Linked DNA regions of Drosophila melanogaster. The protein of the gene in region 2 interacts with the protein of the main gene of each other region in a pairwise test. Each region holds a gene or a part of one and is shown on either strand. Other genes may lie near its edges. The genes, in order: Deaf1 and Clamp.

Evidence for each region.
Region 1: the proteins of Clamp (region 2) and Deaf1 interact in a two-hybrid assay, tested with the Drosophila melanogaster proteins (2 studies listed by BioGRID).

Annotation. Positions count from the first base shown.
Region 1 is NT_037436.4:19,816,361-19,821,335, reverse strand, and holds the start of Deaf1 (deformed epidermal autoregulatory factor-1), read right to left. Parts: upstream 3,163-4,975; 5' UTR 2,802-3,162; coding exon 2,670-2,801; intron 2,235-2,669; exon of another isoform or gene 2,146-2,234; coding exon of another isoform or gene 2,125-2,145; coding exon 1,326-2,124; intron 1-1,325. Other genes in the region: fibp, read left to right, coding at 3,584-3,586, 3,641-3,719, 3,787-4,105, 4,169-4,276, 4,333-4,465, 4,516-4,616, 4,675-4,743, 4,805-4,975. UniProt on the Drosophila melanogaster protein: Transcription factor that binds the homeotic Deformed (Dfd) response element. High affinity binding sites contain at least 1 TTCG motif surrounded by additional TCG sequences.
Region 2 is NT_033779.5:22,164,977-22,171,101, forward strand, and holds Clamp (Chromatin-linked adaptor for MSL proteins), read right to left. Parts: upstream 4,168-6,125; 5' UTR 3,912-4,167; intron 3,668-3,911; 5' UTR 3,560-3,667; coding exon 3,404-3,559; intron 3,345-3,403; coding exon 3,144-3,344; intron 3,091-3,143; coding exon 2,661-3,090; intron 2,601-2,660; coding exon 2,327-2,600; intron 2,278-2,326; coding exon 2,074-2,277; intron 2,012-2,073; coding exon 1,576-2,011; 3' UTR 744-1,575; downstream 1-743. UniProt on the Drosophila melanogaster protein: Transcription factor involved in X-chromosome dosage compensation in males, the process by which transcription of the single X chromosome in the male is elevated. Binds to the DNA sequence (GA)n.

The DNA.
Region 1 (4,975 bases), on a different chromosome or scaffold from region 2:
ACCAATATATAACATAGATGATTACGCTAAGGAGAGTAAATATAGGTTAGAGGTAGCATATGCTCGAGCAAGAAAACTTCTTGAAGCACACAAAGAAAAAAATAAAGAAAATTATGACTTAAAAATAAAAGACATAGAATTAGAAGTAGGAGATAAAGTTTTACTAAGAAATGAGGTAGGTCATAAATTAGACTTTAAATATACGGGGCCCTATAAGATAGAAAGCATAGGAGATAATAACAATATTACGCTACTTACTAATAAAAACAAAAAACAAATAGTTCATAAAGATAGATTAAAGAAATTTCATTCATGATTGAATTTAAACTTATATTTTCCTTAATCATTTATACAAATTTTCCATACACTACGTATATTTTTATCTTTGCATTATAAAATCAACTATTGTTGTTCAAACAAAAACACAAACAAAATAAAAATAAAAATAAAATAATTTGCATTTAATAATCAAAATAACTTCACTAGGTTACGTTATTTTTCAAAAGGAGGGAGATGTAGTATGTGCCTATGCAATATTAAGAACAATTAAATAAAATAGCATATTAACTTATGGCAGCACTTTGTTGCTATGTTTATGTTTATGTTTATGCACGCAGTTAGGCCAGGGCGGATGTAACATGATCACCCACTCGAAGGCAAAAAGTATAAGTGCATGGTCAGCATTCACACGCCGACCAAATACATATTACATACGTACATACATATCTCGCTCTCCCGATAAGCCTAGATATATAAGATATACATAAGAACGCCGCTCCGCTGCTGGCGTACCCGGCAGCGCAGCTACGCGGATTAGCCTAAGTCCAAATATATAAAAAACTGTAAAATCGGAGAGACTCTGTAGACGTTGAGCTGACAGAACCATTTCTGCCTACTCTAAAATCAAAAGAAGAAATTGAATAAATATATGTCAGCCCGACGGCTGCCTTCAACTTAAAACGGACTTGTGTTCTTAATTGGAGTTCATCATTACATCTCATTCCTTAATGAGATGTTCTATAGGGTTACAATATGACATACACACTTGAGAATAAGAAAGTTTTAATATTATTTCTTGCAACATTTTTGCCCAAGAAGCCCTTGCTGAGTAAAATTTCCAATTACTTGGAATTGTTTAAACCCTATAGTTTGCAAACAAAAAATTGTTGATAAACAGAAGTCAGGTGGGTTTTTAAAGCTGTGGTGTTATGAATTCGGTTTGTGCGCGAGTCCTGCACCTGGGACACCATGACGGACCGATGACCAGGTCAACTCGGTGCGCCATGCAGAAGGGGGGAGTGTGTAGTAATTGTTGTTCGTCTCACCTGACTCACCTGCTTCGTCGTCGCAGCAGACGGTGCAGCTGCAGTTGGTCGCGTGCGGCGTGAGCGTACCCTCATCGATGAGGGACTGCAGCGATTTGCCGCCGTACTTGATCGAACGCTTCCAATCCTTGCTGGAGCCCCGGCCACACACATGCTCAAACTCACTGGGCGTATGCCACTTGTCCTTGTACTTCACACAGCGTCCACGGCCGCCGGAGCCCAGCTTGCTGCGGTATAACTCGGCGCAGGTGGTTTTGCAGCGGATCTGGAAGACCTCATTGTGCTGGGTTGACGGGTTCTCCGACCATCCCGAGGAGCCACCACCCGTTCCGCCGCCGCCACCGCCGACGCCACTCGCTCCGCCCGCGGCGTGCTCCAAGGTGGCCAGGCTGTCGTGGCTATTGTTGCTCCCGGAGCCATCGTGATTCAGTCCAATCGTATTTGTGGCGGTCGTATTGGTGCCCGCATTATTGGCGCCGCCACCGCCGCCGCCTGGTTGCGTCTGCTGTTGCTGGATGACGATCGTCTTGAGGTCGTTGCCCATGCTGACCGTGCTGCCGGACAGGTAGCCATTGTTGTCGACGCACAGCATCGGCTTGAAGTGAGGGGGCAGCTGGTCGGGCGTGATCACATTGAAGGTAGTGCCGGTTATCATCGAACCGATGGGCAGGGATACGGGCACCGAAACCACACCGCCACCGCCGTTTCCTCCGCCCGCTCCGCTTGTACCGCCACTGGCGCCGCCGCTACCACTGTTGTCGTTGGAGGAGGATGTGACCATGCGAACCTTGGTGTCCAACTGCATTACCATAGCGCACATATTCCCACGTTCGTCACATGTATGTGGGTGAGTGTCCAGCGGCCAATTGATGGCGTTTGCGATTTAATTCAATGCGATTTGCACAGGAATCGGGAATGAAAATTCGAATGTAAGTAAACAACACAGCATGGGAAAAATGAAAATCGGTATACACAACATTTGTGCGCCACAAATGCGGTGGGTGGAGGGGGAAAACGAGGAGGAGGAGGCAAATTGGGAGTGGATGGAGGCGAGAAGGCGAGCGGGGAATGCCTGTGGCCCAGTGGGTCGCACGGAGCGTTCCGTAGGGCGCAAGTTGCGCCACCCCCAGGCCACCTAGCCCAACCACCCACCACCCACTTTCCACAACTGCGCAGAGCGAAGCGGAGCGGTTTTCGAGCCAGATTCGGTTTCGGATTCAATAGATAGAACCTGAACCAAACACACAGTCCGGAACCAAAACCACCCCGCCAAAGGAGAAGCGAATGGAAAATCCAAAACCAAATGGGCTCCTTACGCAGCCGTTTGTTGCTCCTTTTTCTTACCTGGTGGTGATGATGATGATGGTGATGGCTGGAGCTTTCTAATATCACCTCTTCTTTCACAACATCCTCGGCCAGCGCGGCCAGATCTTTCCTATTCAGGTGCAGCTCGGTGGAGGAGTCAACCTGTTCCATAGTATTGTTATGCCAGTTCACTTTCACTTATTCTGCGGTCCAACGATAGTAATGCACTTGAATTGTTCATCGGATTACCACTTGCAATTGGATTATTGCGATATATGTATATTATTCGACGTCTACCGAGACGACGGACGGTCTGTTGTTGTTGTTGTTGTTGCTGCCGCCGCGATCCGCGTTTTTTTCAGCGCTCACCACGACTTACATGCGAATTGCGCGCAGGTCGCGTTCAAGTTGCATTGCCCTATTTACAGCTGGTGGTTCATTGCAATTTACATTTTTTAAGCTTAAACTTTACTAATTTACTAAAAAAGTTGATATCCTCCTCTTCTTCCTCATGATAACTAGAGTTGTCATGCGCGTTGCAGCTATCGCCCGCTATCGGCACTATCGATAGTCGTGATTCGTGCTCGCTATCTGTGCCCCATCTCTGGTTTTTAAATATCGGAAAGTTTACAGCTATATATCTTGCATATTAAATTAAGATTTCTGAGAATTACAATTTTAAAGATTTCCTTATGACTTGATCTTAAAACTCAAAATCACACCGAATTTGGTTTTACCATTATTACTCTAAACATTTTCGCTTGTTTATTAATAGGATATATTGATGTTATGAAAACAAGAACGATTTATTACTTTCAAGGAAAAGTTTTAAATTCATGAGAAGAATAAACTATGCTGCTTGTGTTGGAACTACACAGTGTTTCATCTCTAACATACATTTCGATATATCCAATTGGACAGCTAGTTCAGAAAACGGTCACTCTAGCAATATAATGGTAACTATCTGATGATCCAAAATAATAATAAATAGTAAAACTGAATGCTTACAGGCCGATGTGGATGTGTTTATAAGTAATTATACAATCATCGATCCAGAAATTTACCAGCTATGGATCGAAGGCTTCTCCTGTAAGTTTTCTTCTCCCAATTGCAATCTTGTTTCATGTCAAACGGCTCCATCGATTTACAATTATAGCCAGCGAGGCGGTGTCCTATCTGAAACAGAAGGGTTTTGGTCACTCCATGGGCGCTCCCAGCGACCTGATTGCATCGGATGTACTGGATCATTACCGCACCTATTCCCTGATTGAACTATACCTAAACGCACCCACCAAACTGATGGAGCAATCCTGCTTCCAGCTGGAGCCACAAATGCGTGACCTTATCACCGAGAAGTACTATTCCATCGATGATGTGGTGGCTCGCGAAATTCTTGGCAAGAAGCTGTCGTCCCGCTACCGCAAGGACCTCGACGAGGTGGCCGAGAAGACGTGCGTCAAGCTAAAATCAGTTCGGTGGGTAAATTTGGCCGCTACTTAGGCAGAGTAGAGTCTAATATATTTCAACTTCTTCTTCAGCCGACAATTTGACAACGTAAAACGCATTTTTAAGGCAGTCGAGGAAATGCCGGGCACGTTAACCAACAACATCAAGCAACACTTCATCATATCCACCGATCTAGCCAAGTATGAATATAATCAATGTATTGAACTTCAAAAAGCTAAACCTTTCACTCTTACAGAAAGTACGCCTGCATTGTTTTCCTGGCCTGCCTGCGTTTCGAAACCACCAAAAAAAAGTTGCAATACCTGAGCTTCAGTGATTTGTTGACCTGCTCCCATGCCATCATGATCTACTGGACGTATACTTACCAGGTATGACTTAGCTCTGCTAATTCCTTACGAAACTAATTTACTAAATGCAGCACACTGGACCGGAGTACTATGATACCGAAATGGACAAAGAGTTTCTCTTGGACCTGCGGGAGTTGCGCTGTCTACTCGACAAGGAAAAGGAGATTAAGCAGTGAGATTTATTTTTCTACCGCACACGAGCTATTATATAGTTTAGTCCTTGCATTTAGCCTCGTCTGCATGCGCCTCAAACCCGTTCTTCTCGAGCGCGCCTTTCACGAACTGGATGGCAACTTTCGGTAAGGACTTATTTCTCGACATTATCACCTTTTCTTACTATTGATCTGTTTTGATTTGCAGTTCTTACTGGCGCGCCCTGATCACCATCGCCTGCAATTTGCATCGCAATCGGGAGCTGCGCGATCTTTTCGTCGATCTCTGTGAGAAGCTTATTGATCCTTGGCGTCAGAATGGCTGGAACCGTGAGCAAGTGAATAAATTTTTGGCTTCCATAACGCAAAGCGTTTTGGA
Region 2 (6,125 bases):
TTAGATGTTGCTTATATTGTTTATCCACAGCTTTAAAATAATTTGATATCAAATTGGAAAAATAATTGGCACGAATAAAAGGACTCTACCAAGCGGCAAAGACCATGGTCAAATTTAATTGGCCGGATAAATATGGATTGTGGTACGCATCCTTTCCGTAACTTTGTAACGATTTAGTTTTTAAGCTGTAGCAGAAATATTAAATAAAAAGTGGACCAACCACAGACACAGATCTTCCTATATAATCATGATTGCATAGTGCATGCAAACCAGTTGACATTAAAAGAAACAAAACTACAATCCCGTGTAACTAAAATGTATTCATTCTTGAATAATCCTATATACATATGAATATAAGTTTGTAATGACCGCAAATTCAAAAATGGACCCTAAGCAAAGTCCATGTTCGCAAATGTATACGTATACGTATTTATCTTGATTTAACTGATGGCGAATTCTAGTAATTTAAAGCTTTATTATACAAGCCATGAATCCTAATTCTTAAACACTTGGTTTTGATTATTGTAAAAAATTCGTTGCCACTTCACAACTTTACTTTAAATATGTAAAAATATTTTATTTTTAACAGATAATACGCAAAAATATAAATATAAGAAGTTTAAAAGAGTGCGTCCATTTTACAAATCAACAGCTCTAATTTTTTTGAAAAGACAGCAGTAATTCACATCATCTAATTTTCGATAAATTTTAACTTTATTTTACTCTTTTACGTCTATGAATATTTAAAGTTTTGTGTATTTATTAATTATATTATTGCCAACATTAAAATTTACTGACCTTATAGCTTCACGTAAGAATAAGATGAACGTGGCAAAACACTAAAAAAATTATATTTAAAGTGAAATGGTGCTTACATTAATAAAAAAAAAACGCATAAGACGTCGAAAACGGTGGAAAATGTGCCTATTTCTGGGATCCCTCTATTCTTCGTTAAGGCACTTGCAAATGGAGTAGGTTAGTAAAAAATTGTATTTTATTCAAATATTTATTTGATTTTATGCATTATTTAATACATACTTATATTAGATAGATTTAATTAAAATATATTTAAGCTTACAACTTTCAACTTATATGTGTGTGTTTATTACCTGTGCATATTCATACGTATCGGATTTGCTCGTATCGTCACCTAATAAATCCATATTTTACACCTACAATTTGTATAAGAGAATAGCCTATAACACTTATAAATACGATGCCTATACATATATGCGTTTAATGTTTAAAGATGTTTAAGTATATTATACAAGCTATCAAATAAATTAGGTTCATTTGTATGCTTATCGTAAAAAGCGTTTTTGGGTTTCGCCCATTTTTGAAGATCCCACATGAAAGTGGAGAAAGGACATATGCAGCTGAAGTGTTAACGATGGAACATCGTTTTCTATTCTTTAATATCATTGTGGTGATATATGCGCCCTTAGAGATGGTTCTGGGGCTAGCATAGGTGGAGGCAGATGATCATAGTAACGCTCGATAAACTGAAGCTAAGCAGGGTGGACTCCAGTGTCTGTGACTTCATTAAGCTGCCTGTCACCTCTGCATTTAAACTATCTATAACCCACCGATAATCACTTCCTGTTGGGCCTCATCCTCCATGTCAGGAATCTCCTGCTTATGCACTATCATCCCATCGCTGCTGGTCTGGCGAGGAGCAGTTTGGCCGTACTTTTGGTGTATGCCGCGGTGACGCTTGAGTGCAAAACGATCAGCGAATGCTGCAGAGCAAATCTCGCACTTGTAGGGTTTTTCTCCGGAGTGCACCTTTGCGTGGTTCTTAAGGTGCGCCGCCTGAGAAAAGGCCGATCCACAAATTTCACACTTGTATGGCTTTTCGCCCGTGTGAATGCGCCTATGATTCCAAAGAGTAGCGTGGCGCGCAAATCCTTTGTCGCAAACACCGCACACATAGGGCCGCTCGCCACTGTGCGTGCGTTCATGGTTCTTGAGGTGTGGTGACTGTGAAAACTGCATGCCGCAGGTTTGGCATCTATGTAAAGATAACGGTAATTAGTATAAAGAGTATAATTTCAAGTAGAAGATTGGTATTACTTATAGGGTTTCTCGCCTGTATGAATGCGCGCGTGGTTTTTCAAATATACGGCTTTAGCAAAGGCCAATCCACAGATGCTGCACTTGTAGTTTTTTTCACCGCTGTGCAGCTTTTTATGGGACCACAGACTTGAGTAACGTGAAAACAGACCACCACATATATTACAACTGAAGGGTTTGGACGGATTTCTGCAGGACAAACACCTTGGTTTTGTTAGCGTAGGATAAGGTTGCAATTTCATGTTATACTCACTCAGTTTTAACAGTAACTGATTGCTTTACCGATCCGCCCACCCCGCTGTGTGAAGCATGGGAGTGCTGCCCCACTAGCACCACGCCGGAGCCATTGCATTTCTGGCATTTGGTCATCTGCTGGGAATTTCGTTTTTTCACAGGATGATGGCCAGACCCACTGCTCGCCTCTCGCTTTGGCGTTGTACCGCCAGTCTGTGCAGCCACAATTTGCTGAAGTTGTGCTTGGGCCTGAGGAGTCGTTGATATGATTTGCACGGGATGCGCCATTTGACCTGCAAAAGATGCGATGAAGTTAGTTATGGTCCATTTAGAATGTAATCTTTCACAACTACCGTCTTGGGCGACGAAGAGCTGCTGTTGTTGTTGCGCTGTTTGTTCAGCCTGCATGCAGGACTCGCAGCGCACCTGCTTTGGACCTTTGCGTTTGGACTGCTGCAGCATAGAGCTTCCACAATTTATGCACTTGCTTGCCTTTGACTCATGTTGCTGCTGCTGCATTACAGATTGCTGAACCGGCTCCAGCGTGTCAGAAGACACAATCTGTATCTGGCCCATCTGACCATTTCCAATAATGTTCTGTGCCTGCACAAGCCCCTGCGCGCTGACCACGGCAATAGAATCGCCGCCCGCTTGGGCGTTATGTTGCTGTTGTTGCTGCTGTTCCCCGTCTGTATGCATCCGCTTATGAGCATTAAGAAGTGCCAAATGAGGGAACATATCTGAACATACGTCACACTTAAAGCTTATGTTGGATATGGTGTTCTGCAAAGAAGAAAATCTTTAGGCTTTGCTTAACGAGTCTTCCTTTTACATACAGCTGCAATTGGCTTATTTTGATTGACAATCTGGATGCGGCCTTGTGCGTCTACCGTGGCGATGCCAAGAGCTGCACCCTGATTGAGAGGCATTCCGTTGACCAGGGCGTAATTGTATCCGCCCACGGGCTGGGCTATATAACACGTCTTATTGTCGTCTGTGGTGGCCAGCTGTGCGAGATTGACGGTACCGCCATTGCCCTATGTGAAGACAATATGAAAAGTCAGCACCAATAACATATAGTAAGTAAACTACTTACATTTGTCGTGTAATAGAAGGTAGGCTGCTGCTCCGTTTTTTGGCCCTCTATTTTGGGCTGTTTAAGAATGGTGCCATCCGCCGTCTGGTATTGAATTGTGGCCGGTTGCCCATTAATGGCATTTGTGAAGATAATGTTTTTGGTAAGGTCTTCCATGGTCCCCAAAATTCGAGTATGCTCAAAAATTAACTTTTATCATACGTTGGCCTTTTATTTACTGCAGCTCTGTCGCGCTTTTCAACACTGCATCACGCGACGCTAATTCTATAAAAGAGAAAAAGAGATGAATATAGTGCCATAGGAACCCAGCGAAAACGACTGATTAAAAATGGCGACGGTGAGACAAAAAATATGTACATACGCGACACAAAACATACACAGACGAACGTTTAATGCAGCAGCTCTTTACATTAACAGACTCTAGTATCTAAACTGGAGTCTAGCACATTTGTTTTTTTATCATACAATATTACACTACATGTGTTATTTTTTTCATTATTAAAATTACCTTTTACGCAACCGGACCACACCATAAATTGCGCACTGCCTGCTCCACAATAAAATTGTTAAGATTTGAGTGGTGTAAAATTGTATTCGTGAATTGATAACGTATTTTAACGATATATTGTTTGGAATAATACAAGATATATATTTAAATAGTGTTATCTTTTTCTAACAAATTCCAGCACTTTAACTTTCAGTCCATCATTTTTTACGATTGCTAAAGAGAGATGGAGACAGAACAACGCTCAGAGATAGAGCAGACGAGCAGCAGTTTTACTTTTTAAAAGTGTGACCGTTTCACGACTCATGAAAATAATCATTTCCCTCGAAAATATACCAAAATTCACAAAGAACTGGTAGGATTTCTTAGAGCCCTTTTACACTAATTCGATAACTCAGAAAACATAAATATTTTTATATACGTTTTGTACTTCGTAATTTGGATTACATCACATGTTGTCTTACATGTTGTCTCTTACTCAAAAGGCAAACGCTACGATCAGTAGAATCTGGCTGTTACTAGCTTTCGAAAAGAAATATCTTGTGCTGAGCTGCGTTAAAAACACGTTTTAAATTTATTGAGACTTAACTTTTAATATTCTACAAGCTAAGGTAACACTGTAAGAGCAAAGACACTAGAATATTCTAGTGTCTTTGGTAAGATCATGGGCCATGGTTGATAACAAATTCCATAAGATAACGAAATTTTACAGGCACTCGACTTTTAACTAATTCTTAAAGATTCCATATAAAACGTACTTATTTTTGTATACTTAAATCTTTTAGGAATTCCTATTTATCTTTATCACTCGATGTAGGGGAGTGAGTTAAGGGACAACAGATTTTTTATGCCCCACGTAGTGACGCAAGTTATCCAACCCATAAATATAGCACTCTACCAAAAGCTAAACAAATTTCTAACTCCAATCTCAGCAGCGTTGCCTTTGCCCTTGTTTTTGACGCCAACACTTAGCCACCCGATATATAACCAAACTTAAAGTAAACACAACTTCCACTTGGAGACCAAGCCATGGTCAACTTATTGCGCTTCAGTCAAACTGCGTCAGTCAGCAAATTTGAATTTCACAATGCTGGGAAATAATTTCAGTGTAAAGCTTTTATCCTAAACATATTAAAAAGCTTAAGAGAATCCTAAAGAAAAGCTTCTGGCCGAGGTTGAGTGGATTAGGATTAAGATTTAGAAGATCAGTCTGAGTCGGGACGAGATCGTGAACAGCTTCAAATCAAAGATAAGCTAGTAATAAAGTGTCTTGTAATAGTATAAGTGAGGAAGTCTGTCGCCGAATAAATATTAATTAATAAAAAATAAAAACTATTCTTTTAAATAATTAAATAGCAGCAATTTTAATTCGCATACGTTTTGGTTTTGAGCTTAAGATCCTGGATGAACAAAGTTCTGCGAGTCCTGTTTGGTGTTGGAAAATTTCAGCTTCCAAAAGATTTAAATACTCTCGGCGCCCAAATTCAAAAATTTATTAGTGTTGGCAAGGCAACCAACGTGGTCAAATGTTTTTTATGACAACAGCATTTAAGGGAATGTCTTGAGATAGTAAGCTTATTTATTAGCTATTTTTGAGGAATGAAAAGACAAGTTTTATGGTAGTGATTTCGAACGATTATGTGTATGGTTTTGGAAAAAATTATGTCAGAAGGAACGGAAGGAAGCGTTTCGGGCATTATAACGTGCTTATATTCTTGTCTTCGGCTACCAATCCTTCTGTTCGTATACTTTTGAAAAGTTCTTTATCTTAAAAAATTAAGTTGTTTTTCTTGATAATTTGTATTGATATGCTTGAACTATTTCGCCACGACCAATTCAACACCCAAAACTTTTTGTTTTCATTGTTTATATTTTGCATTCCTTCTGGCTGTGTAAACGGTATCTCAATGTCCAACAAATTTGCTTAAGCGTTCTCTCTTATTTAAAAATAATTTGGTGGTAATAGAACTTAAATGAAATATATGTATATCTGTTTAGCTGCTTGTGATGTAAAAGAAATTAGAAATTAATTATGTGTTTACATTAAGATATATATCTTTCCCGCTTTTATTCTGTGTTCAAACCGCATGTGTTTTATATCGGCTTAATATACATATGTATGTCGGAGATTGAGTAGATCTAACGCAGTATTTGAATGTAACCGAAATTATGTTTTTGAACCGTTATGTTAAGAATGAGTTAAGAGTAATGAAATTC